7 linked regions of the Xenopus tropicalis genome follow. The protein of the gene in region 1 binds, or shares a complex with, the protein of each later gene. Links are inferred from orthologs where the notes say so. Each region holds a gene or a part of one and is shown on either strand. Other genes may lie near its edges.

Region 1 (4,595 bases):
AAAGTCAACCCAAAATAGCATTTGTTGCCTAATAAAAGAAAACCTAATTCTAAGCAACTTTGCAATATACATTCCTTATAAACTTGTAATGGTTTTTGCGTCATTTGCATATATAATTGCAAACACAAGGCAGCAGCCTGACAGACCTGACTCACCCAACCCCTGAAACAATGTAACACAAGGCAGCAGCCTGACAGACCTGACTCGCTGGGGGAGACTGACCCCTGGAACAGTGTAACACAAGGCAGCAGCCTGACAGACCTGACTCGCTGGGGGAGACTGACCCCTGAAACACTGTAACACAAGGCAGCAGCCTGACAGACCTGACTCGCTGGGGGAGACTGACCCCTGAAACAGTGTAACACAAGGCAGCAGCCTGACAGACCTGACTCGCTGGGGGAGACTGACCCCTGAAACACTGTAACACAAGGCAGCAGCCTGACAGACCTGAATCGCTGGGGGAGACTGACCCCTGAAACAGTGTAACACAAGGCAGCAGCCTGACAGACCTGACTCGCTGGGGGAGACTGACCCCTGAAACAGTGTAACACAAGGCAGCAGCCTGACAGACCTGACTCGCTGGGGGAGACTGACCCCTGAAACACTGTAACACAAGGCAGCAGCCTGACAGACCTGACTCGCTGGGGGGAGACCGACCCCTGAAACAGTGTAACACAAGGCAGCAGCCTGACAGACCTGACTCGCTGGGGGAGACTGACCCCTGAAACACTGTAACACAAGGCAGCAGCCTGACAGACCTGACTCGCTGGGGGGAGACCGACCCCTGAAACAGTGTAACACAAGGCTGCAGCCTGACAGACCTGACTCGCTGGGGGAGACCGACCCCTGAAACACTAACACAAGGCAACAGCCTGACAGACCTGACTCGCTGGAGGAGACTGACCTTTGCAACACTGTTTAAATAGTAACAACCAGGAGTTCAGCAAATGCTGCTTTTAATAGCAATTACATTTACACAACTTTCAAAGCACTGAAATTTAAATACATTCACATTGGAAAGTTGTTTAGAATTATGTTTTCATTTATTATGCAAAAAATTATTTCTGGTGTTTATAGAAGTTAATTGTACCATTATTTACAAGTGCACATTGTGTGTATATATATTATTTTTTTTTAGCTGGCAGAGGAATGCCTAGAACCACCCTAAACTACTGGGACGGTGTAGAGCCAGTTTTGCCTGTTCACTCCATGGGACATTAGCCGATTTAGTCACCCGCAATAGATCTCAGCTACCACAGGCAATAGTGATGTGCGGGTTGAGATTTTCTCAACCCACACCAGACCCTAACCACCTGCTCCCACCCCGAACCGGCTTCCTTCCTCTATTTATAGAGCCGCACCCGCCCTGCAATGACGCCACAAAAGGGTTGGGGCTTCTGGGTGCGCGCATATAAATAGAGAAGCTGGAAGAGAGCAGTGTACAGGTCCCCGGCGGGGAGGGCGAGCGGAAGAGCTCAGCCCAAACCCACCCGCAACCTGCAGGTGATGTGCCGAGTTCGGCCCAAACCCACCCAACACGCAGGTACCGGGCCAGTCCGCACATCACTAACTTGCAACTAACCACCCCAAAATGCTCTTCCACTAGCAACAAAGGCAATGGATTCGATCTCCCTAGGTGCATGAAGTTACCTGCAGGAGGAAACTCTGTGCGTAGGCCTTTCAACCAGCAATTCCCTTTGTTGTCGTTGGAAAGCCATTTCAGAGTGGTTAGTCGCCCACGGTAGCAGAGATCTATTGCGGGCGACTAATTTGCTCTGTGGGACATTACACTTTACCCATTCACTGAAATTCAGTACAGTTTTCCCATGACCGTATTCCTTTAATTCAGTGGTCCCCAACCAGTAGCTTGGGGGCAACATGTTGCTCCCAGTGGCCTCGAAGCAGCTGCTTATTTTTGAATTTCTGCTTAGGAGGCAGGTTTTGGCTGCATAAAAACCCAGTGTAAATGCCAAGCAGAGCCTTCTGTAGGTTTCCAGTCAACATAGGGCAGCCGTTCTCAACATGTGGGTCGGGACCCCTTTGGGGTGGAACAACGCTTTCACAGGGGTCACCTAATACCATCAGAAAACACATATTTCCCATGGTCTTAGGAATAATTCTATGGTTGGGGGTCACCGCAACATGAGGAACTGTATTAAAGGGTCACGGCATTAGGGAGGTTGAGAACCACTGATATAGGGGCTACCATATGGCCAATCATAGCTCTCATTGGCACCACCAGGAACTTTTTTCACGCTTGTGTTGTTCCCCAAAACGTTTTCCATTTGAACGTGGCTCGTGGGTATGAAAGCTTGCGGCTCCCTGCTTAAATACGCTTCTTTGTGATCCAAACAAGAACTTACACTCCTTGGAAAAGAGTCTCTTCCGCCTCCCCTGACCTCCTTCTGCCGATCCAGAGGCTTCTTCCGTCTCATCCTCAAACTGCAGGAGTAAAAGAACAATGGATGAGTGGAACCCAGTGCAAAGCTGAACCCGCTGTCTATTCCCTGGCAGCTTTGCCACCAACATCTATAGAGAAATTCATTGTGGCCCTCAGTACAGAAATAATGGCAATGGCAGCACAGCAATAACAGCTGGGGGACACAGGGCAACTGCCCCCCATTATGTACATATAGCAATGATGGCAGTAACTAGTTGCAGTTGGTCACTTTCATAAAGCCCGGAAATTCCTAGCTACAGACACACAAACCCGGATATTAGGGAGAACTGATCCTACTCCCCAGACTGTAACAGCTACCCGGTCTCTCTAACAGCAGCAGCCTGAGTACCTGGAACAAACCATTGGCACAGGGGTGATACTACGAATACAACTCCGAATCCTGACCCGCTAATGGCGCCCAGTGGGCCTGCCCATGAAACAGGACCAAGCCACCCGTGTATTCCCGCTCTATATCCCTTCTGCGCTCCTACCGTTTGATCCTCATCCTCGTCGGCCATGTCTGCTCCTCCCCGCACTGCCCCGCCAGTACAATTTCACCTCCACTCTACCACTTCCGGCGTGTAATAAAGCCAAGTTAAGGAACTTCCGGGTGTAACAAAATGGCGCCGCAGAATGTGCCACGCCCCCAAACGCCTCAGTTTTAGATTTTCGTAACGATGGAACAATAGAAACCCCGCTGAGGGCACATATAACCCCTGTAGTGCCCGCCCTGGGCTGTGTGTGGTAACTCCCACCCGCAAACGGCGCTCCTTGCAGCCACTCTAGTCGCTAAGTGACTTCCGTCATCAGCATCCGCGCTGATTGGTCCGTTAGACGCGCCAGGATTTGAATTCTACACCAGCCGGAGAAAGGGAAGATAGAGTCGGGGAGCGGCGGTATCGGTAATGCGTCATTTGCGGGGCGGGAGTGACACCAACGGGTTCAGAAACAGCTCCGAGTGCGCCTCTAAGGATGCTGGGAGTTGTAGTTTTGTTTAATAACAGTTGGGCATGTTTACTGTGTAGTTTCACGCACTGGGAGAGAAATAGTTCCCAGCTTCCCTGTACTGGGACTTTATACCCCCTGTAACACTGGCATTATTCTAGGGCCCTGTGCCTGTAACACTGGCATTATTGGCAGCATACAGGGGGCAGCCCTAGGGCCCTGTGTCTGTAACACTGGCATTATTGGCAGCATACAGGGGGCAGCCCTAGGGCCCTGTGCCTGTAACACTGGCATTATTGGCAGCATACAGGGGGCAGCCCTAGGGCCCTGTGCCTGTAACACTGGCATTATTGGCAGCATACAGGGGGCAGCCCTAGGGCCCTGTGCCTGTAACACTGGCATTATTGGCAGCATACAGGGGGCAGCCCTAGGGCCCTGTGCCTGTAACACTGGCATTATTGGCAGCATACAGGGGGCAGCCCTAGGGCCCCTGTGCCTCTGTAACACTGGCATTATTGGCAGCATACAGGGGGCAGCCCTAGGGCCCTGTGCCTGTACACTGGCATTATTGGCAGCATACAGGGGGCAGCCCAGGGCCCTGTGCCTGTAACCACTGGCATTAATTGGCAGCATACAGGGGGCAGCCCTAGGGCCCTGTGCCTGTAACACTGGCATTATTGGCAGCATACAGGGGGCAGCCCAGGGCCCTGTGCCTGTAACACTGGCATTATTGGCAGCATACAGGGGGCAGCCCTAGGGCCCTGTGCCTGTAAACACTGGCATTATTGGCAGCATACAGGGGGCAGCCCCAGGGCCCTGTGCCTGTCTGTAACACTGGCAATTATTGGCAGCATACAGGGGGCAGCCCTAGGGCCCTGTGCCTCTGTAACACTGGCATTATTGGCAGCATACAGGGGGCAGCCCTAGGGCCCTGTGCCTGTAACACTGGCATTATTGGCAGCATACAGGGGGCAGCCCTAGGGCCCTGTGCCTGCCTGTAACACTGGCATTATTGGCAGCATACAGGGGGCAGCCCTAGGGCCCTGTGCCTGTAACACTGGCATTATTGGCAGCATACAGGGGGAGCCCTAGGGCCCTGTGCCTGTAACACTGGCATTATTGGCAGCATACAGGGGGCAGCCCTAGGGCCCTGTGCCTGTAACACTGGCATTATTGGCAGCATACAGGGGGCAGCCCTAGGGCCCTGTGC
Region 2 (3,954 bases), on another chromosome or scaffold:
CAACTGACTTCTGAGTTTTACATATTCCTTCCATAGAACAAAAGACATCAAGGAGCAAAGATGATGCCCCACACGAACTAGAGAGCCAGTTTATCCTGCGACTCCCACAGGTGAGTATGACACCTATCCGAGCAAGGAATCCTATGTAGAGCTGCTTCCATTGCTCCTCCTAAATGATTGCATGGTACTTTTAATGATGATTGTGATTAAAATTACTTTTCTTAAACTCTTAATTTGACAATAGGCTTCATTAGTGCCACATTAAATGCATTGGAAAGTTTAGGGATGGCACACAGTAAATCTGTGCTCTCTTGAGTGGTGTATGTGTGCACTTGACAAAGGTCTGTAGGATGAAAAAATCTCTCGTGTTGAGTCAGCAATAAACCTGGGAACCCCCTTATCAGAAGCCACCAAGTCATCAGACAGACTGTCGCCACTTTCCCAAGTGGTGGAACACAAAAAGAATTAGGGGAATTTTTAAATACTAACTAACAGCTGTCACTGGATCAGGTTCTTTCCTCATCTTCTATTTTTTTTTTTTTTTTTTTTTTTTATTCATTTAGGAATATGCCTCAACAGTTAGGAGGATGGTCCAGTCTGGGAGTGTAAATACAAAAGACAGACTTTCTGTTGAGTTGCATCGTAAGTATTTTAGCAGCCTAGTTTCTGAGGCTGTGAAAGATTCAAGATTTTTCCCATATAAATTGAGGGTGGGGGGGGATTGTTTTAACTAAATAGGGCAAAATTTAAAAATGAACGTAACGTCTCATTCTAATTCCTGTCCCTAAAAGCAAGTTGAAAAGCAAATCAGCAGTCCGCTGAGTAGCTGCTTCTTTTCTCACAGCCTAACAGGCTGCAGCTGGTGCAAGGGGGAGGTTCTCAGTGGACTGCTGATTTGTTTTTACCTTGATTTTTTAATCCAAATGTCACACAACTCTGTCTCTAAGCTGTGTACTGTAGCTGCAAGAGAAAAGCAAGTAACTTGCTTATCACTAGCCAATAAAAGAGGCAAGCACAACCCCTATTGCACAAGCATTTAACTTATGGAGGACATTCTCTATTGCTTTAGTTATCTTTTGAGCTCTAGCCAGTCTAGAGAAAATAAAAAAAACATATATCCTGTCTAACTATAATCAGTCCAATTACTGGATTACAACATACCTATGTATATTATAGAAAATAATTAAAATAAAGAAGAAATACAGATTGTTAGTATCGGTCTGGAATGGAATCCCTGCAGCATATTTGCACTTGATAATTACAAATGTAAAGAGTGGCTCAGGAGGAGCCTTTACCCTGTTGCATGTTTTTAAACTTTGAAGTGATTGCTAATTTATGATGGTTTACTAAGACTGTAGATTGCAATCAATTAGCAATTCGATTTAAACACTTGCCTACAAGTTAGAAATCAGAAGCAAAGATCTGATTGGTTGCTACAGTCCTGGTAAACATGCCCCTTAAAGGAGAAGGAAAGGCAAAGTCACTTGGGGGTGCCAAAATGTTAGGCACCCCCAAGTGACTTTAACCGCTTACCTTGTACCCCGGGCTGGTGCCCCTGTTCGGAGAAAATAGCACCAGCCCGGGGTACCTGGAGCGCAGCACTTCCTCCTTCCGCCTTCAGCTTCCTAAACTGCCGGTGGCCGGGCATGCACAGTAGAGCGAAAAAGCCGACTTAAATGTTTAAGTTCGGCTTTTCACTCTACTGCGCATGCGCGCGCAGCGAAGCCGGAAGGAGGAAGTGCCGACAGCTACCCCGGACTGGTGCTGTTTTCTCCTGACAGCGGCACCAGCCTGGGGTAAAAGGTAGGCGGTTAAAGTCACTTGGGGGTGCCTAACATTTTGGCACCCCCAAGTGACTTTACCTTTCTTTTTCCTTTAATCCTCTATTTATCTTAACTTACTATGTAGTTATGATCTGTTCCCAGCTGATGGACGTCATGGAATTGTACGTGTTGACCGTGTACCACTGGCTGCAAAACTCGTTGATATTCCCTGTGTAGTGGAGTGTTTAAAAACTATTGACAAAAAGACTTGCTACAAGACTGCCGACATCTGTCAGGTATTTGCTGCTTTGTTTTGCCTTTACCTTAAAGTGCCTAGTAAGTACCCTTTCTCCAGATGAGTAATGAAAACAGGTCACATGCTCATTACTGCATTTAGAATAGGGTAACTGCAGAGAAACAAAAAGAGGCAACATGTGTAGTCTTTGTGTAGCTCCAAGTAAGTAACCCTCCGTATTAATACATTCTGTGAATCAGGCCATTTCTTTTATTACTCCAGTAGTTGCATGAATGTCTGCTTTTTTTTTTTTCTCCTAGATGTTGGTATGTACCCTTGATGGAGACCTCTATCCACCTCTTGAAGAGCCAACTGGGACTAGTGACCCAAAAGCCAGCAAGAAGAAGGACAGGGACAGAGAAAAGAAATTTATTTGGAACCATGGAAGTGAGTCTGTTTGTCTTTCATAGTTTGGGGGAAATTGTTCCTACCACTCTTCCTCTGCACACAAGACACACACAATTTTTTCCCCCCTTATGTTATTTCAGTTACACCACCTCTAAAGAATGTGCGAAAGAGACGGTTCAGGAAAACTGCAAAGAAGAAGGTAATTCTGTAGTTATATCATGGTGCATTGAGGGAACCACTTTCTCTTTGGGTTGCATATCGTAATGTGTGATGTGCTGTTTCTTCTTCCTTCCCTACATATTCATCATCTTCCATTTTTCTTGATACTTCTTGATAACCCCTAAGCTTTGTTTTTTCTTTTTAGTATATTGAGTCCCCAGATGTGGAGAAGGAGGTGAAACGGCTTCTGAGCACAGATGCTGAGGCAGTTAGTGTGCGTATCCTTTTATAAACAGCTACCCAGGAGAAAACATATGGTGATCGCTTTGTGATGAGAGAAACATTTTTTGTTCTGGATTTAAACTTATATCTTTATATTTGAGAATCTTATCCTTTCCTTGACTTGCCACCATTAGGATGGGAAGTGATAGCTGAGGATGAATCAAAAGAAGCTGAGAATCTGACTGGGTTGGATGTTTCCCCAGGGATGTCTGGGATCAAACAGGGTCGTGGTTCTTCAGGTAGTTTGTCCTTACCAAAAATAACATTTTTTTTCAGCTTATAAATGTAAATCTCTTTTAGGTCTTGTGCAAACCAATGTACCCTATCATGGGAAGCTGAGGATACTTTGATTCTTAATATATGTGGTATCATGCTGCCCTTGCTATGATACATAGGCAGCTGACTGCCTATGGAAGTGAACATTTCATCGGAAAGGATATTCCAAGCTTCTTTAGTGTTTGCAGAGTTTTTTATCTTGTGTCTTTTCTTCATGCATCCATCTCCCCCCAAAGATCTCTGATTCCAAGAAAGGATTCACAGGGAATTGATCATGTTCTGTCATGAAACTATTACAAACGCCAGTATTGATTTTTTTCTAATAATAATTCAGTAAAGAGAAATGACAGAAATCACTTCTTCCTCCCCTCTTACCTTTAAATCCGTTTTCCTCCATTAATGCTTTGTTTCACTTATTCCATCTTCCTTGTCTCCTTGTAATAACTCCAATGCTCTTTACTTTTTGCAGTGTCTCACAGCCCTTCTGCCTTACTCCATCTTTAATTCACACTGATATTCAGTGCTGGAACAATCTGACCTGCTGCCTGCTGCTAGATTTTCTTCTAACTAAACCCAGCCCTTTTATGGTCCTCTTCACACTTTTTTATTTTGCTCCACATTCCTCTGCAAACATCCATTAAATATGAGCTTATATTCTTATGTTCTTAATTAGCTTTTTTAAATTATTCTTATTCCCTCCATCTTAAGCTCTAACTTGTCTTTCCCAACATGTCTCTCTCTTTCCAGCAGTGGAGAGGGAAGAATTGCGTCAGATCTTTAATGACATCAGTAGTAGCAGTGATGGAGAAGAAGAGGAGGGAGAACGCCAGG
Region 3 (3,081 bases), about 67 Mb from region 1:
ATGGGGTGTTTTCTGAACAAATATTTTTAGTGAAGCAGTATTTAGTTGTATGAAATTAAATCAAATGTGAAAAACTGGCTGTGCAAAAATGTGGGTACCCCTGTAATTCTGATAATTTGAATGCATGTAACTGCTCAATACTGATTACTGGCAACACCAAATTGGTTGAATCAGCTTGTTAAGCCTTGAACTTCATATGCAGGTTATGATGCATATTTTCTGTTAATCCAATACTACCGTTTCCAGAAGACATGTTAAATATTAAAAGGATGTTGATACTTTGAAAGCTCAGCTAATGATAAACAAAACTCCAAATAATTAAGAGGGGTTCCCAAACCTTTTCATATGACTGTATATCTGTTATTTTTAAAAAGCCAGCATATATTGTAATGCTATATTATATTGTCTTTAAAGATACACTTAAGCTTGTTACTAATATTTTTCCTATTAGATATTATGGAAGACCTATTTTCCATATGATGTTTAATTGGCTTCCCAGTCAGATATATTATTTTACCTTACTTTGTCAGGAACATTCTTTTGTTCCTTACTGATATGTTTTTCTTTTCTCCCTCTGTGATTTATTGTACCTCATCCAGAATATTGTTTTTGTTAAATTTAAAACTGAGGCTTTTTTTTTTTCGTTTGCCAGTGATTGCAGCACGTCCACTCTCAATACCTTATCTGAATGCCCTCCTCCCATCAGAACTAGAATTGCAGCAAGTAGAGGAGACTGATTCCTCAGAGCAAGATGATCAGACTGACGCAGAGAACCTGTCTATGCATCTGCAAGGGGTATATGGAGAGAAACTTGAGTTTGTTATGTCCTATATTTATCATTCCGCATGCAACTTACTGCTTTGCCTTTATATTTTACTGTTATGTTTCCTATGTTTGTTTATCTAACTTAATTTACTCATAGTTCCATAGGGTTGAAAAAAGACCAGAGTCCATCAATTTCAACCCTTCCAAGTAAACCCAGCACACACAAATCTATACTGACCACATACCATATACTGACCATATACACTCACATACATAAACCAACATCAATACTAACTATAGATTTTAGTATCACAATAGCCTTGGATACAATGTTTGGATACTGTTGTAGTCCTTATTTAAAGGAGACATATTGTGTAAAAACATAGAAGGAATCTGCATTAAAAAAGATATGCTTTGGCTGATTTATTAAAAATGTAATGCAGATCCCTACTAGTCCCACTCATCTCTTTCACTTCCTGCTGACTCCTTTCCCAGGCTGTACAGAGGAACTGTTGGCACTTAGCACACTGCACTGTATAATAAGAATTAGAAGCTAGGTAGACCTGATAGGGAACTAAAGCCTGTCTTTGCTACTGTGACTAGAGGGCTGTGATTTGCTACCCCACCCCCATCCTGCTTATGGCAGGAACCATTAGAACATGCCCACCCCTTAATTGAGCAGATATATATATATATATAGAGAGAGCTCCGATAAATTATCTTTTAAAAGATAATGAGCATTTTTTTCCCCTGAGTGAAAAATATATTATTCATTATTGTCACCAAGCTTAGGGGGGGTTACACTTATGCTATATGTCTCCTTTAACTACTTTATTCATTCTTTCCTCAACCTGTTTTCTGCTCAGCCATCCACTACATGCTTTAGAATGCTTCACCCTTTTGTTGACCTTAATTCATCCCAGTGCCCTTTCCCTGGTATATTTTGATATTTTATTGCTTAACTTCCTATTTTATTTTTAACTCCCAAGGACGAGGTGGGCATGGAGAAAGAAAATTCATCTGTTTTACAGCAGAATTCAATGAAGGGTGGAGAGGAAACACTTATAGATAATCCCTATCTACGACCTGTGAAAAAACCTAAGCTGAGGCGTAAGAAATAGAGTAGCCAACCCTGAGATTCTGAATGAAAAACTACAGAATATTTAACTGGACATTAGTGACTCCATTTACCAGAGCTTGAAAAGGATGTTGATATTGAAATTTTATTAAAGTTGGCTGCTCTGTATTGTTGATTACAGGAAAAGTTAAGAGTCCATATGGGCAACTTTAATTTGAGTCTTGACATGCAATGTTTGAACCTTATAAGGATCCTTGAATAGGGATATATATCTTTCATTTCATACCCTGATATAATATATATCTTTTCATTTAATACCCTGATTTGAGGACACAGATACTGTCCCTCATGAGGTGTTTCATAATAAAAGATTTTTGAAAATATGAAGGGTATTTTTTTGTTTGTTTTGCTTAGTTTTGTGCACAATACACGTAATGTTTACACACTTATTGCTATTTTAGAATATAAGCCAAATGTATAGATGAAAAGCAGTAAATGTGCTTTTGTTTCTGCAGTATTAATTAAGTATGCAATTTGGTAGTAAAATAAGATTGGCTGGTAAGTATATTATGCATACACCTAATACAAGAGATTGATCTTAAAACAGTTTTGAAAATGTCTTTGATTTGCTGAGCGCAGACAAATTAGTATGTCTGTACCAAAAGCAATTCAATTACTAAAATAAACAATAGATTGAGTGTTAGGTAAGTGGAAAGGAAAGAGAGTAGGTGGGTCAGCATGATACATAGCCTTTTTTTGTTTATGGATGCAATCATGTATGTATGTATGTATATCTTTATTTATAAATCGCTACTTATGTACGCATCGCTGTACAGTAGAATACAGTAATACCAACGGGATTATTAGGATAATAATAGATAAATACAAAGTATAACAATAAATACAAGATACAGTTGCAATAAGTTAAGAGTCAACGACACAAGAGGATGGAGGCCTCTGCCCCGTAGAGCTTACAATCTATATGGAAGGGTAACTTACAGACACAAATAGGCAAATATAAGTGCTGTAGGTCACAGCGGGTGACACTAAAATAGAAGTGCTAGTTCCCAGATCAGGTGCTGTAGGTAGAGTTACATAAAGAAGAATATTATTGCTGTAATATACAGTGATAAGATAATGATGTCCCCAAAGTCCAAAGAGTCCAACCAGCATTGCTAAACCTGGTCAAATTTATCAGGTGAACCCCTTTGAGTATATACCAAAAATGTCAGTGTAAT
Region 4 (4,746 bases), about 170 Mb from region 1:
ACACAGGACTAGAGCAGGAGGGCATCATCTCGGGGTTACTGGGGTCTCTCTACCCCCACCCCCAAAATCATTATCCAATCGGCTCCCTACATACTTACCCCCCAGCCCTGACTATGGAGCAGCAATGTGAGGGCACATTCATTTCTATTGGGTGCAGCCCATACCTAGATGTGTATAGGAGATCTAGGAGCTCTCTCACTGGCTGCTTGTAACATTGGGCGGAACAAAGGGGCACCTTGGGCACAATAGCCCCACTGAAGGGCATTTGCTGGCGGGGTACCTTGCTTTTGCTGCGAGAGCTCCCGGAGGCCGTCCCCTTCATCTTACAGTGCTGCAAGGCGTCATTTGCAATGTCAGAGATGAACTTCTGAGATGCCAAGGAGATCAGCCGGATTCTAGGAGAGACAAGCGGTGGGGTCAGCGGATCACTACAGAGATCGAGAGGATCCGGTGTGAAATTCAAAATAAGCGAAGTCAATACAGATGCTGTGCTGAACTCATAGTAATCACCATACAGGCCTGATTGGATAACTGCAGTAAGACTAATGAAAGCAACTCTGATTGGTTGCTAGGGTTAAAGGAAAAGTAACACTAAACATTTTTAACTAAAAAAATCTATTCTACCCTCCCCCAATAATTGCCCTATCCTGAAATCCATTTGTTATTGTGAATGCATCAACTATGCGGTGATCGACTGATCTAGCCCCTGACTTCTGTATATAGGAATGAGTCAGGCTAGGCTCGATCAGTCGATCACCGCATAGTTGATGCATTCACAATAACAAATGGATTTCAGGATAGGGCAATTATTGGGGGAGGGCAGAATAGATTTTTTAGTTAAAAATGTTTAGTGTTACTTTTCCTTTAAGGGCCGATTCGGGTCCTTCAGACCAATTCAGCAGCTTATCTGCCCGTGTATGGGCACCCCCCGACGGGCCTACCCAACCGATATCTGCCATTGCGATGGTTTGGCCCTAGCCCGGTATTGCCCACTGTAGGTGGAGAAGATCCGCTCATTTGGCAATCTCACCAAACGAGTCTCCACCAATTACATTACAGTTCCTAGAAAGCAAGATAAACAATAATAAAGAGGGATAATACATATAACGGAATGGCAGCACCAGAACGGGCACTTTAACCCCTATTTAGGCCTCCAGTTGCTGTGGCCATAAGCGTGACTGTCAGCTCTCCTGGTAGGCACAGAGCAAACGGCTACTGGCCACGGCGGCCCATAACCTAGCGCTACAGGCTGGCCAGAATAAGGGAAGGTTCTTCCTAGTCGAGGCAACTGCTACAGGGCTCTGAGAAGCTCCGGTACCCACGGGCCAATAACGTATGGCAGCAGGAGTTGTACTTACATGCGTGGGTCGGATGCTTCAAACCCGGCCCGGTTCAGGTAATATCCAGTGACGGCATCTGGGATCTGCAGGAAATCGGGAGAAGGAATGTAAAGCAAATGTTGGAACAGATACAAGCAATGATACAGGGAAACAATATGGCAGCTCCCACCAACAGATATACATACATACAGAGAAATGATGTTCTGTAGGCACAAGCTGCACCCTGACACTGTGTAAGGTGGGGCAAATGCCTGGCACTGCCCCCCCCCAGTACCCTAGGGCACAGCATTTCCCATACAGACCCAAGGGACACTTACCGTAGGGGTATAGTCCTCCAGCTGCATCAGGAAATCCACCAGGGGGGTAGTGGAAATGACAGGTTTGACATCGCCATTTGCCACCCCCGGGGGCAGGTACACGCCATTAGAGAGGGATCCCTCGGAGGGGGCAGCAGCCGCTGATGCAGGGACTGGAGGATCAATAACAGAACATACATTGGAATTGGAAAGGACTGGGCAATAGTCACACAGCCGGGCACTTACCTGCGCCCAATTCTCCAAATACCCCCCCACCCTATCTGTCCCCAAACTGTACTCCCCATTGTACAACCCAGTGGGCACCATTTGCCCCGAAACAGGTCCATTCACCCAGCTCCTTCCATACGTTCCCCTTCTCACCCCCGGCACCACTCCTACCCCCTGCCCTAGCAAAGGGCAATTCTCAGCTATGACAGCCCCCTCCTCTCTAGCTGCCCCCCGGGACCCCTTTCATCTCCAGCTGCCCCCCGGGGCCCCCCTCTCATCTCCAGCTGCCCCCCGGGGCCCCCCTCTCATCTCCAGCTGCCCCCCGGGGCCCCCCTCTCATCTCCAGCTGCCCCCCGGGGCCCCTCTCATCTCCAGCTGCCCCCCCGGCCCCTCTCATCTCCAGCTGCCCCCCGGGGCCCCCTCTCATCTCCAGCTGCCCCCCCCCGGGCCCCTCTTTGCTCCAGCTGCCCCCCCCGGGCCCCTCTCATCTCCAGCTGCCCCCCCGGCCCCTCTCTGCTCCAGCTGCCCCCCGGGGCCCCCTCTCATCTCCAGCTGCCCCCCCCGGTGCCCCTCTCTGCTCCAGCTGCCCCCCCCGGGGCCCCTCTCTGCTCCAGCTGCCCCCCCGGGCCCCTCTCTGCTCCAGCTGCCCCCCCGGCCCCTCTCTGCTCCAGCTGCCCCCCCCGGGCCCCTCTCTGCTCCAGCTGCCCCCCCGGCCCCTCTCTGCTCCAGCTGCCCCCCCCGGCCCCTCTCTGCTCCAGCTGCCCCCCCCGGGCCCCTCTCTGCTCCAGCTGCCCCCCCGGGCCCCTCTCTGCTCCAGCTGCCCCCCCGGCCCCTCTCTGCTCCAGCTGCCCCCCCCGGGCCCCTCTCTGCTCCAGCTGCCCCCCCGGCTCTCCCTTTCCCCTCCATGCTTGGGTTTCTCTCCCCAGGCCTTTCCTGGAGTCCCAGTCCCCTGTGAGTACCCCCCCCTCCCTCTCCGGTTCAGTTGCTGCCGCTCACCGCTGGCTCTTCGCTCCCCCGTGTCCCTCCCGGGTAGAGCAGCTGCAGAGGCCGCGGCAGGCCCGGGTTTGGGAATGTTTGCCGGGCTGGGCTTACTCTCTGGGGCCGGACCGGGCTGGACTGAGGCAATAGCAGATAGAGAGTCTGGCGCTGTCTCCGTCCCGCTCATCTTCACCCTTGGACAGGAACTTCCGTCAACACCCGGAAACAGCTCCTCCACTTAATCTCCTCCCCAAAACAACGGGCAGTGCCTTTACGCCATCTTCCTGCAAGGCGTGTCCCAGCGCCCCCTACCGGCCAATGCGGCAGCTACACAGCTCAGGAGAAACATAACCTTACGTAGAAAGCCCATTGGCTACCTGCCAGGGCGCGGCCATTTACTGGCTTAAAATGTTGCCAATCAAAGCGGTGATAGCAAAGCTGCGTTAGGATTTGAACAAAGCCAGACTGTGATTGGATGTCGCTTGGTTACGTGCTGAGGCACGCTAGAGTGCCGCCATGTTGCTACACACGGAAATGAGCTTAGCGAAGTGCATGGGAGTCAGACTGACAGTGAGGCGCGACACCAACTCCTTCTTCTGAGCGTGAAAAGCGCCACAGGCAACCAAACCGGGGCTGTTAGGAGCCGGCGGGCTGGACTTTACCCTGGGGCAGGGGCTGCTTGAGGCCAGTATTTGGGTGTAGCAATATGGCGGAGTTCGCAGACCGAAAACGGACTGGGAAACCACAAGAGTGAAAACCGGATCCAAATTGCTCCGACATTGATTCACTGAGCAAGTGGGTGAGTGTCCGCCTCCCGGGAGCTGGGACTTTCTTTTTATTGATCCACCCCCCCCCCCCCCGCCTCCACTCAGGCAGCCATTATGGGGGTCTCTTTACACTCACTGTCAGTAACTAACCCACTCACTGTCAGTAACTAACCCACTCACTGTCAGTAACTAACCCACTCACTGTCAGTAACTAACCCACTCACTGTCAGTAACTAACCCACTCACTGTCAGTAACTAACCCACTCACTGTCAGTAACTAACCCACTCACTGTCAGTAACTAACCCACTCGCCGTCAGTAACTAACCCACTCACTGTCAGTAACTAACCCACTCACTGTCAGTAACTAATACACTCGCCGTCAGTAACTAACCCACTCACTGTCAGTAACTAACCCACTCACTGTCAGTAACTAACCCACTCACTGTCAGTAACTAACCCACTCACTGTCAGTAACTAACCCACTCACTGTCAGTAACTAACCCACTCGCCGTCAGTAACTAACCCACTCACTGTCAGTAACTAACCCACTCACTGTCAGTAACTAATACACTCGCCGTCAGTAACTAATACACTCGCCGTCAGTAACTATACACTCGCCGTCAGTAACTAACACACTCGCCGTCAGTAACTAACACACTCGCCGTCAGTAACTATACACTCGCCGTCAGTAACTAACACACTCGCCGTCAGTAACTAATACACTCGCCGTCAGTAACTAATACACTCGCCGTCAGTAACTAATACACTCGCCGTCAGTAACTAACACACTCGCCGTCAGTAACTATAACACTCGCCGTCAGTAACTAACACACTCGCCGTCAGTAACTAACGACACTCGCCGTCAGTAACTATACACTCGCCGTCAGTAACTAACACACTCGCCGTCAGTAACTAATACACTCGCCGTCAGTAACTAATACACTCGCCGTCAGTAACTAACACACTCGCCGTCAGTAACTAAGACACTCGCCGTCAGTAACTAAGACACTCGCCGTCAGTAACTAACACACTCGCCGTGAGTAACTAATACACTCGCCGTCAGTAACTAACACTCGCCCTAACACTCGCCGTCAGTAACTAACACACTCGCCCTAACACACTCGCCGTCAGTAACT
Region 5 (4,191 bases), on another chromosome or scaffold:
GATAACCCATCCTCATGCCACTTCTAGGCCAGCATAAAAATACTATGCCCAGTGGGTATGGCAGGACAAAATTACAAACAGGAAATCCTTTTCTCATCACACATTTACAGAATTAAGTGCCATACAATGCACCAGTGTGTTCTCCTGAATGACTTTTACAGATAGATAAGAATATTTAGGGCTGTGACAGACGAGATGATTAGTTGCGACTAATCTCCCCGAAATGCCATCCCACCGGCTAGAATGTAAATCGCAGGTGGGATGGCATACGCGGCATCTTTGAGAGGAAACTTCGGCGATGCTTATGCCATCCCACTGGCAATTTACATTCCAGCCAATGGGATAGTATTTCGAGGAGATTAGTTGCTCGCGACAAGGGAGATTTGTCACGTGGCAACTAATCTCCCCGTCTGTCACAGTGAAAGCAACTATTAGGTGAATAAGATACAACAAAGGCTTTTGTCTTACCTTAGGGTTATACTCTGCATTTCGCGCTCTAAGTGCAATTGTTTTCAGATCCAGTTTGCAGCCAAGATTTACAGTGGACACTATGTTCCTGAACAATGTAAAAGCAGTTATTACAAATCCAAATATTTTTGCTCACTGTATTTAAAGGTATTCAGTCATTAATTTTTATTGTGTACTTATATTTCTAAATTACTGTTTACATAGCAAATAATTTACCATTTAAAATTTTATTCTTAAACCAACAAAAGTAATTTTTTAGTTGTAGGCAGCCAGATCAGTGCATTGTGCCCGAGTCTGAGCTTTCAGAAGGAGCCAGAGCTACTGGACTTGAATTTTTTTTTTTTTTTTACTATTGAGTACTGTTCTGATATCTACTGGGAGCTGCTAGCTTGCTAACTTACATTGTTCTGCTGATCGCCTGCAGGGGGATGATGATATCACTCCTATCTGCAGCACAGTAGTAAAGTGTGACTGACCTTTATCAGAGCAAAAGTCACATGACTGTGGCACCCTGGGAAATGAACATGGCTAGCCCCATGGGAAATTTTTAAAAAGTATTACAAAAAAAAAATTTGCACTATTAGTACTTGTAAAAGTGCTAAACTATTTTAATTTCCCAATTCTTTACTTGTTCTATTTTTCACACATGTTGGACAGATATAGGACACATTAAAACTAGGATACTACTGTACATGCTAAATTACATATCAAGACAAGTCTTTCTCCCTCAATAAAGTTTCACTTTAAATATGACATCAATTCAGTCTCAAGAATGTGGTGTAAAAGTCTGAAATGAGGAAACCGTCTGCATCTGTTTCTAGACCTAATATATACACACACCCCTGGCCTGGTAGCTTTTAAATCTAATATGGACTCCTATATTTTTAAGAAATGTAGCTTTTTTTTTTTTTAAACAAATGTAACACTCACAGGGTAAACAAAGGTAATGCAGCACTGTTAAAATACTCATTAGTACCAAAGGTAAAACAAAGATAAGGTCTTTTAATTTTGACAGGCCACACTCAAATGTGGTATAACAAATAAAGTCATTACTGTCTAAAATTAAAATATGCCAGAATATGTTTCCATTTCCTGTATATCTAATATTTACCATTTGCAGAGTTGTATGCTCTATGGCACTACAGAAATGTACAGACAAACATAAGGATTTGTTGACAAGTGTGCAGATACAGATAATCTGACAAATGATATCTGCAAAATGTCCCCCAGGATGATGAGACTTACTGTAGCTGAGGAACAATTCCTGAACTTTCTGATGCAGGGGTAGCAGGAGTAATAGGGGTCATGGGAGTCATTGGGGAGGGGTATAAGGGTGTATTTCCTGGAAGAGGTGCTGTGGTAAGAGTCTGTGGGTGAAACAGTTGTGGGGTTTGGCCTGACCCCTGATTGCCTTGTTGTGATGTAGACTGCTGGGCCTGTTGTTGTTGTCTTTGCTGTTCTTCCAATATTGATAAACTGTTAGTTGTTTGTACAGGTTGAGGGGTCAGACCAGTTCCATAGGGCATCAACGGACTGAAAATGTTAATCCCTGGAGTCAGAGAACCCTACAGAAATAAAAGACAAAAAAAAAAAAAAAATTATAACAAATTTGCTCTCAAACCCACACACAAGTTGAATCACAAGTTAAAATGGGCTTAGTACATGGGGATTTCTTTAATGAAAATCTTATGGTATAGCCCTGCACATGGAGTAGGACAAGCTAAGGGCTCTTACACACAGGTGTTTTCACCCTGCAGTCTCCCGAATTGGATTTCTTCTCCTTTCCACCACAAGGAAGCATAGGATGAAATGCAGCTCTATATTCATTCACATGCATGAATGAGAACGGAACACATCTGTTTTGTGTTCAAGAGCCCTCAGGATGGCGTTCCTCCACCTATTACGACAAGCGCCCCAGCAAGAGAAACATTTGCATTGAAGCCAATATTGGCTGCTGACTTGCATTTCCCCCCTAAGTCAGTTGGAAGCATATTGGCCTGTGTCTCAAGTTTTTCTTCTATTTTTTCATTCTTCAGTATTGTATCTGTTGTCCAAATTAACCACACCCGGTATACCGTATACCCCCCAATTTAGAAAGTGCAAATGAAGTGAATATTACAATGCTTTTAAAGGCATTTTATTTTATGGAGGGGGAATTGTGGTAAAAGGGAAAAAAGGGTTCACACTTACCTGTGGTGATGCCAACCCCTGGAAAGGGGGTATACTGTTGTTTTGATCCATGTTGCGTTAATTGGAAATCCCACTAAGAATAAAACAAAGTGTGCTGTTCCTACAAATTAAAATAAACCATTCCAGCAGCAGACAAAAATCCTATAAAAAGAAGTTAAAAAAAAAAAAAAAAAAAAAACATTAAAACATAGCTTACATTCAGCAGTTAGCACCTGTATTGGTAAATGTGATAAGTTAACAGTAGGACAGAGGGCCATAACAACGAGCCAATGTGGTCCCCGATCCGTGTTGGGGGTGCCCATACACAGGCAGATAAGCTGCCAAATTGGTCTGAAGGAACTAAATTGGCAGCTAGAACCTGCAAGTGTATGACAACCTTATGTGACCATAGCAAGCAGTAAAGACAACACCATGAAGCTAATCTGCTATTAATCCTACTGTATAAATCAGTGACCCAACAACTAGATGACTGTTTAAAAGAACAAATAAAGTAAAAAAAAAAAAAAGATAAGATGTAGGGGATATTTATAATATTAGCAGCAGCAAATTGCTTGAAATGACAAAAAAAGGTATACTAAAATGGTGTAGTCAAATTATACACTTGCAGATGTCACAATGGGATTCCTTCAAGCAAAATTTGTAAAATGACCTGCGTGTGGTTTTAGTTTCTCCAAATCTCTTAAGGGCTCTGGCACACGGGGAGATTAGTCGCCACGACAAATCTCCCTGTTCGCGGGCGATTAATCTCCCCGAAATGCCATCCAACCGGCGAAAATGTCATTCGCTGGTGGGATGGCATACGTGGCGGCACGATTTCAGTGAAATAGCGGAAGTTTCCTCTCAAGGCAACTTCCGCGATTTCACTGAATCGCCGGTGGGATGGCATTTTGGGGAGATTAGTCTCCCGCGAACAAGGAGATTTGTCGCGGGTGACTAATCTCCCCGTGTGCCAGAGCCCTAAGAAGCTATAAAAACCATAAACGTATTCATTCAGATGTAATAATCAAGCCTTGTTATATCTAAATTCTGAGATTTTGTAGTACAATAATACAAATTTTGCTATATGTGCCCCTAAACCTTTTTCTCTGAGGAACCAATTAAACGCACAAATTAGTTTCACAACACAAGGTTGGTTTATGTACATAACTTAGTGCCTAATTTCCATTGTACTCAGTAAGATCATGCCTCAACAGTACAGGGAGCCGTAGGTTTATTGCTGAGTTTAGGCTGTAGCACTACAGAATGAGCTAGAAAATAGTAGAAACTATTAGACTAGATAAAATGGCTCCAAATCAAATTGGTCAGCTCAAGGCCAAAGAAGCAAATCTAAAATTTGCCCAGCTTTAAAGGAGAAGGAAAAGTAAAATGACTGGTAGTAGTAAATATTATTAGGCATCCTCAGGGATTCCAGCCACTTAGTTTACCTGCTTCAGCAACCCCACCCCCTTTCAGGCATAACCTGCCAGGCTTGGGCAAGGGCATGTGCACTACAGAACTCTCATATTTCTGTACCACTCATACCCACCCTAGACT
Region 6 (4,734 bases), on another chromosome or scaffold:
AGCTGGAAATTCTGAACGCTCGCCGGGTTCTGCTGAGGCTGTGGCACGCGCGGGGCAAGCATAGGGGGAGTGATTGTAGCCCTGATACCACCGGCCAGGGCCGTAGGAGTCCTTGGCAAGTTGGGAGGCACGGCGCTGACTGTAGCTTTGCCCATTCCTGTAGGGGCACCGGGGGCAGACACAGCTCCTCCAGGACCAGGGTGCCCAGCTTGCATAGTCTGTCCTAACACCATATTGCCAGGGTTAGGCTGGCTCTGCTGAGGGGGCTGGATAATAGTTTTAGGGGATTCCGACTTGATCACCGGACTGGGCTGATTGTTCATTTGCAGCGAGACCCCGGCAGGGGCGGACAGAGGGGAATTGATCACAGTATTGCTCCCGTTCTGAGTGGCGGGCACGCCCTGGTGCAACAGAGGTCTCACCAATGCCACGCTGGTGGGTACGCCCGCCATGCCAGCTTGCTGCCCAGCTGCTCCCGCAGTGGATGTGGATGAGGAGGAGATGACTGAGGATGCCACGTTAGTAGTCCCAAGGAAAGAAGTCTGGATAACGGTGTTAGCTCCTGGGTTCACTCCACCCTTAGCGACAGGAGCCGGTCCGTTGTTTACCAGGCCGACAGCGGCATTGCTGTTCCCCTGGTAGGGGGTTCCGTGACCCCCAGGTCCGTGTGAATTAATCACAACATTACTCCCATTCATGGTCTGTAGGGTGGCATTTTTGCCATTACCTGAACTGTGGTTGGGCAGAGTGGAAGCCATGTTGCCCAGAACCCCAGATTTGGCCTGGCTAAGAGCTCCTGGTGCTTCGGGTATAGCAGACTGAGTCCCGTCAGGCTGTGCTGTGGTCTGTGGGCGGCTGTTAATGACACCTCCTTGTACTCCGGGTACAGCGGCTCCTGTGGGAGAAAAAGGACATTTTTTTTTAAACAGCAGGGAAAGAAACAGAGCTATGGGGTATACACCCGCCGGAATATACAGATAGCCACCCCTGTGCACCCACTCTGGTCCAGCACTTGGTTCCACCAGCAAACGCCCACTGGACCCCTCAGAAGCGGCATTAGGCAACCCCACAACCCAACATGCCACCCAGAAATCCAAACCATTCCAAGAGAACCCAATGATGCCCCCAGGAAGATTTACCCCCCCCCCCCCCCTTGTAAGTGAGCGGCATATAGACGGTGCCCTCAGTGCCAGCTCCCCAAGTACACGGGGAACATACCCCACATAAGGCAATTTCACCCACACCCCCCCAAATGACCATATAGTGCCTCTTGCCCCCCAAGTCCATTTATTAAGGCTCATTATAGCCCCCAGAAAATCCCAGGTATCTAAGTATCTACAACAAGGCCATCAGTAGCGCCAAAAGTTCATGTGGACCCCCAAATCTTCTCCTGGGGCACAAACTGCCCCCTAATGATCCACACAGCACTCATCTCCCCACAGTCACCCCCAAAACCCTAAAATGCCACAAATCTCTAGTCTGTTGCCACCAACAGCTCCATTAGTCCATGTGAGACTGGCCAGAAGGCTGCCCAGGGCCCAGTATACCCCCCAAATGCCCCCAGGCTGCCCGGTTACCCCAGGAAACTGCCGGGTACCCCAAATATCCAGTCGCCAGCCACCAACAGCTCTACGAGTCCATGTGAGACTGGCCAGAAGGCTGCCCAGGGCCCAGTATACCCCCAAATGCCCCCAGGCTGCCCGGTTACCCCAGGAAACTGCCGGGTACCCCAAATATCCAGTCGCCAGCCATCAGCAGCTCTATGAGTCCATGTGAGACTGGCCAGAAGGCTGCCCAGGGCCCAGTATACCCCCAAATGCCCCCAGGCTGCCCGGTTACCCCAGGAAACTGCTGGGTACCCCAAATATCCAGTCGCCAGCCATCAGCAGCTCTATGAGTCCATGTGAGACTGGCCAGAAGGCTGCCCAGGGCCCAGTATACCCCCCAAATGCCCCCAGGCTGCCCGGTTACCCCAGGAAACTGCTGGGTACCCCAAATATCCAGTCGCCAGCCATCAGCAGCTCTATGAGTCCATGTGAGACTGGCCAGAAGGCTGCCCAGGGCCCAGTATACCCCCAAATGCCCCCAGGCTGCCCGGTTACCCCAGGAAACTGCCGGATACCCCAAATATCCAGTCGCCAGCCATCAGCAGCTCCAGGAGTCCATGTGAGACTGGCCAGAAGGCTGCCCAGGGCCCAGTATACCCCCAAATGCCCCCAGGCTGCCCGGTTACCCCAGGAAACTGCTGGGTACCCCAAATATCCAGTCGCCAGCCATCAGCAGCTCTATGAGTCCATGTGAGACTGGCCAGAAGGCTGCCCAGGGCCCAGTATACCCCCCAAATGCCCCCAGGCTGCCCGGTTACCCCAGGAAACTGCCGGATACCCCAAATATCCAGTCGCCAGCCATCAGCAGCTCCAGGAGTCCATGTGTACCCCCAATTCTATTTCCTATGGGCCAATGTGCCCCCCCAAAGCCCTTGGCCCCCCTCCAAGTCACTCCACAGGCGCCAAGTAGTACAAGTATCCAGTTTTCCAAGAGCAGCAACTCCAGAAGTCCATGTGGGGCCCCCAGAGCGTTTCCCGGGGCCCATCACACCCAGCAGAGCCCCTGAAGGCCCCCAGTCAGCCCGCCGGCCGCCAAAACATTCCCGCGGCCCCCCTGCCCGCTCAGCTCGGCGCCCCCAGGCCTCACCCGTCTTAGGCACCTCCGGGGAGAGCCCTATCTTGGCTTCAGGCTGTCCCCCCGCACTGGCTGCCCCTACCCCCGGGCTGGTGACATGGTTAGCCAGGGCCTGGCTGCGGGCCTCGGCGGGGGGTTGCTGCTGGTGGTGGTGGTGATGATGGTGCTGGTGGGCCGCGGCGGCCAGCTGAGACTCCAGGGATCCCACCAGCTCGCTGACCACTTTATCGTCCACGTCCGTGTTGAAGAAAACCTCATCCAGTAGATCCGAACCCGCCGCCATCTTTACTCCGCCGCTCAACTCAGGAGGGCAGCAGCTCTGTGCGCCTGCGCGGCGGGGCAATTACGTCACACCGGAGCGGCGCTCCCATTGGCTGCTTCATGGCTACATAAGGAGCGGGCAAATGGCTGCGAGCGGTATTGGGAGGGCAGGAGGGGATCGAGCGGGGTCGGTGGAACGGGAGGGAGGCACAAAAATAGGGGGCGGTCGGGGAAGGGTCTGCGCGGGAAACCGGGTGGCGTGGCGACGCCTGAAGCGGAGAAAGTCGCCCCGCCACAGAAACGCGCGCTCTTTGTCTGCTCAATTCAAAATGGCTGCTGCGGGTGTCCCGCCGCCACTCCTGTCTGCCGCCCGCTGCGGGTTACCGGGAGGGAGGGGGCGTTCCTGTCACCGGGTGGGTGGGACACCTCATACAGGGCTCGGACAAACGCACTACTGCCGCTTGTGGGATCCGCTGTCTACCGACCGTGCCGCTTAGGCGGAGGGGCATGCTGGGAGTTGTAGTTTTACAACTAATGTGGTTCCCGTGACTATGGGCAGGGAGAAGCTTGTGTATCTGGGAAGGAGTGTAGGGGGGTGTAAATAAAGGGGTATGTGGGTGGATAAGAGGGGCATATGGGTAAATAAGTATATATATCCCTTGGGAACTGAATAGCTATCCCAGTAGAGTTGTTGGGGGTGTAATGGGGGTTATAGGGGGTGAATGATTACCCTAGGGCAGTGTTTGGAGGTATAAGAGCCAATAAGTACCCCAGTATAGTATCTGGGCAGGGGTATTGGGGTTATTATGGTGATGGGGGAGTTAAAGCCAAATAGAAATTCTACTAGATTATTTATTTATTTATAAGAAGTGGTGTAATGGGGACTAAGTACTCAATGGGCCTTGGGAAATGGACATGGCCGGGGGTTAATGTGACTGCCCCATTGTGGGGTAACAAACTGGGCAACTAGAGAGGGTATGGGGCTGTATAAGGGATAGATACAATCTACATGGGGTGATGATTTTCCCTGCACAGTGTTTAGAGGGTTAATCCCCAATAAATGATAGGTTAGTGGATCTACAAGTCATGACTGGAAACTGGATCCCCAAAGGATCACTGGAGGGGGGGGGGGGGGTGATCAGGGGCCCTGCAGGTTTTGTCCAATGAGAAGAATTCTGTCCCTTAAGGTTCTGGAATGGGTTCTGTTAGGGAGTAGGCTCTGATTCTGTATCCTCCCTCTATCGGATTTCTCCTCAATACTTTATAGAGTGCCTGTATGGTACCCAGCACTTTACAGAAGAGCTTGCAATCAAAGGGAAACCCCAAGCAGTATTGGGGTCCCATGTTATTTTATGTACCAAAGAGTAAGAATGTGCCACTGGCCTCCTGTTGTGAGGCAGCGCTAAAACACAAAACGTTAACCTATTATATAATGGAAGACTGCTCCTGCTCAGCCATTGGCTAGGTGGTGCCGGTGCACTGTCCCTTTAATTCCCATCTGGATATATTATTTATACAGCACCACGAGTGCACACTGTGCGGTACAAAGCATAAGCATAATTGGCTTCTGTCAATATGAAGCCGTAGGGCATTTTCCACTAAACAGCATTATGAGTTGCGGTGTAGGTTTTTACCTCATTGGGGCTTTATCCATACAGTTGGGCATTTTCTAGAGAAAAGTATCTGGATAAAACTCTGAAGATGGCTGTGGATAATCAGCCTGTTCAGCCCTGCAGGATCCTTTATAAATAAATGATATTCTGTTCACTAAGTGGCAAACAGCAAGGGCTC
Region 7 (4,011 bases), on another chromosome or scaffold:
CTTTGATTTACCTCTTTGTGTAAAATTTTAAGTCAAACAATTCATACGTGATTAAACTTCACATTCCAGACTTAAAATTTTCTTAAATTTTAGTTTCACCATGCAGAAATGACAACACACTTTATAGTCCCCCCTCATTTTAGGGGACCATAACGTTTGAGACAAATGAATTGCAGGTATATTAAACCAGTCATGTTTAGTATGTTGTTGTATTTCCCTTGCATGCAATGGCGATTCACATCACCAGCTGCTGAGTATTTTCTCTGGTGATGATCTGCCAAGCCTCTACTGCAGCCACCTTTAGCTCCTACTTGTTCCTTGTCCCTTTACGTTTCCTCTTCAGCATATGGAAGGCATGCTCAATTGGATTTAAATCAGGTGACTGGCTTGGCCATAAAAATGTTTTCATTTTTTAAGCTTTGAGAAGCTTCCCTGTTGCCTTAGCAGTTTGTTTGGGATCATTATCTTGTTGCCGGATGAAGCAATCTCCAGTCAGTTTGGAGGCATTTAATGGAACTTGAGCAGATAAGATGTTTCTATACACCTCCAAATTCAATGTGCAACTGCCATCAGCAGTTACATCATCAATGAAGACAAATGTGCCGGTACCTGTGGCAGCCATACATGCCCAAGCCATAACATCCCCAACACCATGTTTAACAGATGAGATGGTATGCTTTGGTTCTTTTTCTTAGTCCATTTTCGTCTCCACACTTTCCTCTTGCCATTACTCTGATACATATTAATCTTGGTCTCGTCTGTCCAGAATTCTGCAGGCTCTTTCAAGTACTTTTTTTGCAAACTGTAATCTGGGTATTTTTGTGGCTAACATCTTGCAGTGTAGCCTCTGTATTTCTGTTCATGAAATCTTCTGCGGATATTAGTCTGACAAAGACACACCTGCCTTCTGAACAGAGCTCACCAGTGCATACTTTTTTCTACGTGATAATCCAGACAGTTAATTTTGGCAATTCTAAGGTTTGACTGATGTCTCCAATGGTTTTATTCTTGTTTTTCCATCTTCATAGCTTCCTTGTCTTTTATTGACGTGGCTTTTCTCCTCATGTTGCTTAGGTACCTTATCCCTGCACTAATGCAGCAATGCAACACGCCTGAGTATCACAAACAGCTGAAGCCAGTTGTCCCAAACATTAAAGTCTGGAATGCGCACTTTAATCACGTCTTAATTGTTTGATTTAAAATTTTACACTGGCGGAGGGGTAAATCATAGAAAAATAGAAACATCTTGCAGAAATATGCAGCCTTTTCATAATTTTTAATGTAATAATATGGTTTGGAACAGTTACCTAAGACTGGCCCCCTGTTCTCCTGCTGATCTGGCTGACTACTTTGAAACTCAAAAAAAAAATAAAAATGCAGCAGCAGTCGACTATTCTGAGCCCGCGTTCAGCCTGCATCCTTCAAATCCCACAGCTCCCTGTTTTTTTCTAATATTATTATGGAGTGCCTTCTTTTCTTCTAATTCCCTGAACATGTGATGTCATAGTAACATCACAGGGTAATAATACACTGTGGGTTATGTAGTTCGTGCAAGTTGTTGCAATTTTAGTCCCTCCTCCCCTGCCAAAATTTCAAATGATGCAGAAAAAGAACTGTTTTGTCGCTGGATTTTAGCATATCAAAATCCACGCACCAAATCCACTATTTTGGGATCTGGCAAACCCTTCATAAAAGATTCGGCTGAATACCAAACTGAATCCGAACATACACATCCGAATCCGAACATTGGGCCACAGAGGGGCTAAAGAGGACTGTAATCATTTTTTAACTTCCTTGGTTACGTGACAAAAAGTCACAGGATTTAAAGGATTCACATTCGGTTCAACCAAGCATGAATTGAATTCTGGATTCGGTGCATCCCTAAAAAATGGTATTTATTCATACTTTTTGAATGAACAGATCGCAGTGATAGTTAACTTAGGGGTTTCTGTGATGTGTGGGGCCATTTAACAAATGTTGGTTTGGAAGCCGGACTCTAACTTCCTTTTATTATAGTTCCTTTTTCAACACAACAAAAAAAGGTACAATCCCTGAGGGGGGTGCCACGTTGTTAGGTGGCACTTTACCCCTGCAGGATGCCTGTCCATGCAGCCCGTATATTTAGAGGTTAGAAATTTTCTTTGCCACTTTGCACAATGTTCTGGCTACAGACACTTTGATGAATGTATTTCCTAAAGGCAAATATTCTTCTAAGCTATGGTTTTTTATCATATTTATAATTTTCAATAACTGCTGATTGGCAAAATGGAAGCACAGTAGGAGATGGATAGCCAATCACAGCCCTGCATTCACACAAAGGCAGGTTTCAGGTCAGGTCCCACCTAGCTTCTGATTGGTTCCTATTCTACAGTGCAGTGTGCTGCTACCTGCTCTGCACAGCCTGGGAAAGTAGTTAGCAACAAGTAGACCAGATGGGGGGGACTAGAAGGGCTTTTGGAGAAATTCTTAATAGTTCAACCCGAAACACATCTTTTCAGCACATTTCTTCTATACAAAGAGGAGTATGCATGGGCACATTGTTTTAATACTATATGCCCCCTTTAAAGAAAACAATAAAAAAAAAGTAAGTGGTAGAATAAAAGATCTTACCAGTGGTACCAGTCATCACATAGATCACAACCAATCATTGGGCTGCCATCATCTGCTTTGTTACATCCGGGACAGATCCAAATCTGGTTGCCCCACTCATCTCGGATCTAAAATAGATACTGAGTTGTTAATGGCGCACTCCTTACAGTATGGAGGAGGAAAATACCATCTAGTTTAATGCCTTCTGGAATTACTTTAGATTGACTGTACATAATCACAGGTCATGTATATGTATGTATGTATGTATGTATGTATGTATGTATGTGTGTACTCCTAGCAATGCTAGGTGTTACATTAGCATTTTAAAATTAATTATTCACTCTACAAGCATATTTTATATTGTATAACTGTAAAGGCTGGACACCACATATTTCCTGCTCTGTAACAGGAAATGACATTGCACGTGGTGTTATGGCCAAAATGCCCTGATTTATAAATTGGTAATGCAGATGGCAGAGACCATAAAGTCTGCCAGTTAAAGTACAAAGTAGAAGTAATTGGGATAAGATAAATGGAAGAACATAACTTAAAAGGGCAGAAGAGGTGAAGGATACCTCTCTGGACAAAGAAAGTGCTATGAGTATATTTATGTTGAAGTCCTTCCACCTAAAGCAGGGATATATCAGACCCATCAGCATGAAGCAGCAAAATTGGTTGTCTAAGGGCTGTGGCACACGGGGAGATTAGTCGCAGGGCGACTAATCTCCCGAAAAGCCGTCCCACCGGCTAAAATGTAAAGTGCCTGTGGGATAGCATACGCGGCACAGCGATTTGCCGAAATCACCAAAGTGATTTGCTGTGCTGCGTATGCCACCCCACCAGCGATTTACATTTTAGCCAGTGGGATGGCATGTCAGGGAGATTAGTCGCCCGGTGACTAATCTCCCCGTATGCCACAGCCCTTAACTGAACTAAGAATTTTGAGGCTTGGAAGCGATCCTTTAATTTAACTTATGTTTAGATCTCACAGCTCTTTAGCAAAGTAAATATATTAATTCAGGATTGTTCTGTACATGTACAAATCGTTGCATTCCTACTTTATAGTTCGGCATTACAAGCAGAGAACAAGATAAGTATGCTTTGTGCTGGCACTATAGGAAACTGTTCCTTATTAGCATTTTTACTTATTAGCCAAATGGTTCTATTCAATTTGCTGATAAGATCAGGGATATAAAAAGTTGTTACTCAGTAACTTTCCGTTTACTTTATGACATCTAACAATTTGAATTAAAGGATAAGTGAAATTTAACAGGAAAAGCAGCAATTTTGAAACTCAAAAGTTCATGAACTACTAACATCGTTGCTTAAAAAAAAAAACACACAGAAATATTACAAGGAAATTCTCTGAGTAAAGCAGCAGGGGGTCCAAACCATTTAACATTTTTCTGATAAATGTTATAC

The links.
Region 2: taf13 (region 1) and taf7 share a complex: the UniProt entries of both Homo sapiens proteins name them as parts of the TFIID basal transcription factor complex. The link is inferred for Xenopus tropicalis from reciprocal best matches to the Homo sapiens genes TAF13 and TAF7.
Region 3: taf13 (region 1) and taf8 share a complex: the UniProt entries of both Homo sapiens proteins name them as parts of the TFIID basal transcription factor complex. The link is inferred for Xenopus tropicalis from reciprocal best matches to the Homo sapiens genes TAF13 and TAF8.
Region 4: taf13 (region 1) and taf10 share a complex: the UniProt entries of both Homo sapiens proteins name them as parts of the TFIID basal transcription factor complex. The link is inferred for Xenopus tropicalis from reciprocal best matches to the Homo sapiens genes TAF13 and TAF10.
Region 5: taf13 (region 1) and tbp share a complex: the UniProt entries of both Homo sapiens proteins name them as parts of the TFIID basal transcription factor complex. The link is inferred for Xenopus tropicalis from reciprocal best matches to the Homo sapiens genes TAF13 and TBP.
Region 6: taf13 (region 1) and taf4 share a complex: the UniProt entries of both Homo sapiens proteins name them as parts of the TFIID basal transcription factor complex. The link is inferred for Xenopus tropicalis from reciprocal best matches to the Homo sapiens genes TAF13 and TAF4.
Region 7: taf13 (region 1) and taf3 share a complex: the UniProt entries of both Homo sapiens proteins name them as parts of the TFIID basal transcription factor complex. The link is inferred for Xenopus tropicalis from reciprocal best matches to the Homo sapiens genes TAF13 and TAF3.

What each region holds. Positions count from the first base shown.
Region 1 is NC_030678.2:3,373,567-3,378,161, reverse strand, and holds the start of taf13 (transcription initiation factor TFIID subunit 13), read right to left. Parts: upstream 2,964-4,595; 5' UTR 2,959-2,963; coding exon 2,932-2,958; intron 2,443-2,931; coding exon 2,364-2,442; intron 1-2,363. UniProt on the Homo sapiens protein: The TFIID basal transcription factor complex plays a major role in the initiation of RNA polymerase II (Pol II)-dependent transcription.
Region 2 is NC_030684.2:37,696,298-37,700,251, forward strand, and holds part of taf7 (transcription initiation factor TFIID subunit 7-like), read left to right. Parts: intron 1-36; coding exon 37-110; intron 111-563; coding exon 564-642; intron 643-1,925; coding exon 1,926-2,059; intron 2,060-2,318; coding exon 2,319-2,445; intron 2,446-2,546; coding exon 2,547-2,605; intron 2,606-2,770; coding exon 2,771-2,843; intron 2,844-2,981; coding exon 2,982-3,086; intron 3,087-3,870; coding exon 3,871-3,954. UniProt on the Homo sapiens protein: The TFIID basal transcription factor complex plays a major role in the initiation of RNA polymerase II (Pol II)-dependent transcription.
Region 3 is NC_030678.2:70,726,229-70,729,309, reverse strand, and holds the end of taf8 (transcription initiation factor TFIID subunit 8), read left to right. Parts: intron 1-652; coding exon 653-795; intron 796-1,754; coding exon 1,755-1,886; 3' UTR 1,887-2,226; downstream 2,227-3,081. UniProt on the Homo sapiens protein: The TFIID basal transcription factor complex plays a major role in the initiation of RNA polymerase II (Pol II)-dependent transcription.
Region 4 is NC_030678.2:177,470,135-177,474,880, forward strand, and holds the start of taf10 (transcription initiation factor TFIID subunit 10), read right to left. Parts: upstream 3,041-4,746; 5' UTR 3,030-3,040; coding exon 2,861-3,029; intron 1,810-2,860; coding exon 1,658-1,809; intron 1,424-1,657; coding exon 1,359-1,423; intron 429-1,358; coding exon of another isoform or gene 396-428; coding exon 281-395; intron 1-280. UniProt on the Homo sapiens protein: The TFIID basal transcription factor complex plays a major role in the initiation of RNA polymerase II (Pol II)-dependent transcription.
Region 5 is NC_030681.2:50,706,290-50,710,480, reverse strand, and holds the start of tbp (TATA-box-binding protein), read right to left. Parts: upstream 2,801-4,191; 5' UTR 2,710-2,800; coding exon 2,659-2,709; intron 2,034-2,658; coding exon 1,714-2,033; intron 557-1,713; coding exon 469-556; intron 1-468. UniProt on the Homo sapiens protein: The TFIID basal transcription factor complex plays a major role in the initiation of RNA polymerase II (Pol II)-dependent transcription.
Region 6 is NC_030686.2:4,389,630-4,394,363, forward strand, and holds the start of taf4 (transcription initiation factor TFIID subunit 4), read right to left. Parts: upstream 2,980-4,734; 5' UTR 2,966-2,979; coding exon 2,695-2,965; intron 896-2,694; coding exon 1-895. UniProt on the Homo sapiens protein: The TFIID basal transcription factor complex plays a major role in the initiation of RNA polymerase II (Pol II)-dependent transcription.
Region 7 is NC_030679.2:83,684,431-83,688,441, forward strand, and holds part of taf3 (transcription initiation factor TFIID subunit 3), read right to left. Parts: intron 2,718-4,011; coding exon 2,611-2,717; intron 1-2,610. UniProt on the Homo sapiens protein: The TFIID basal transcription factor complex plays a major role in the initiation of RNA polymerase II (Pol II)-dependent transcription.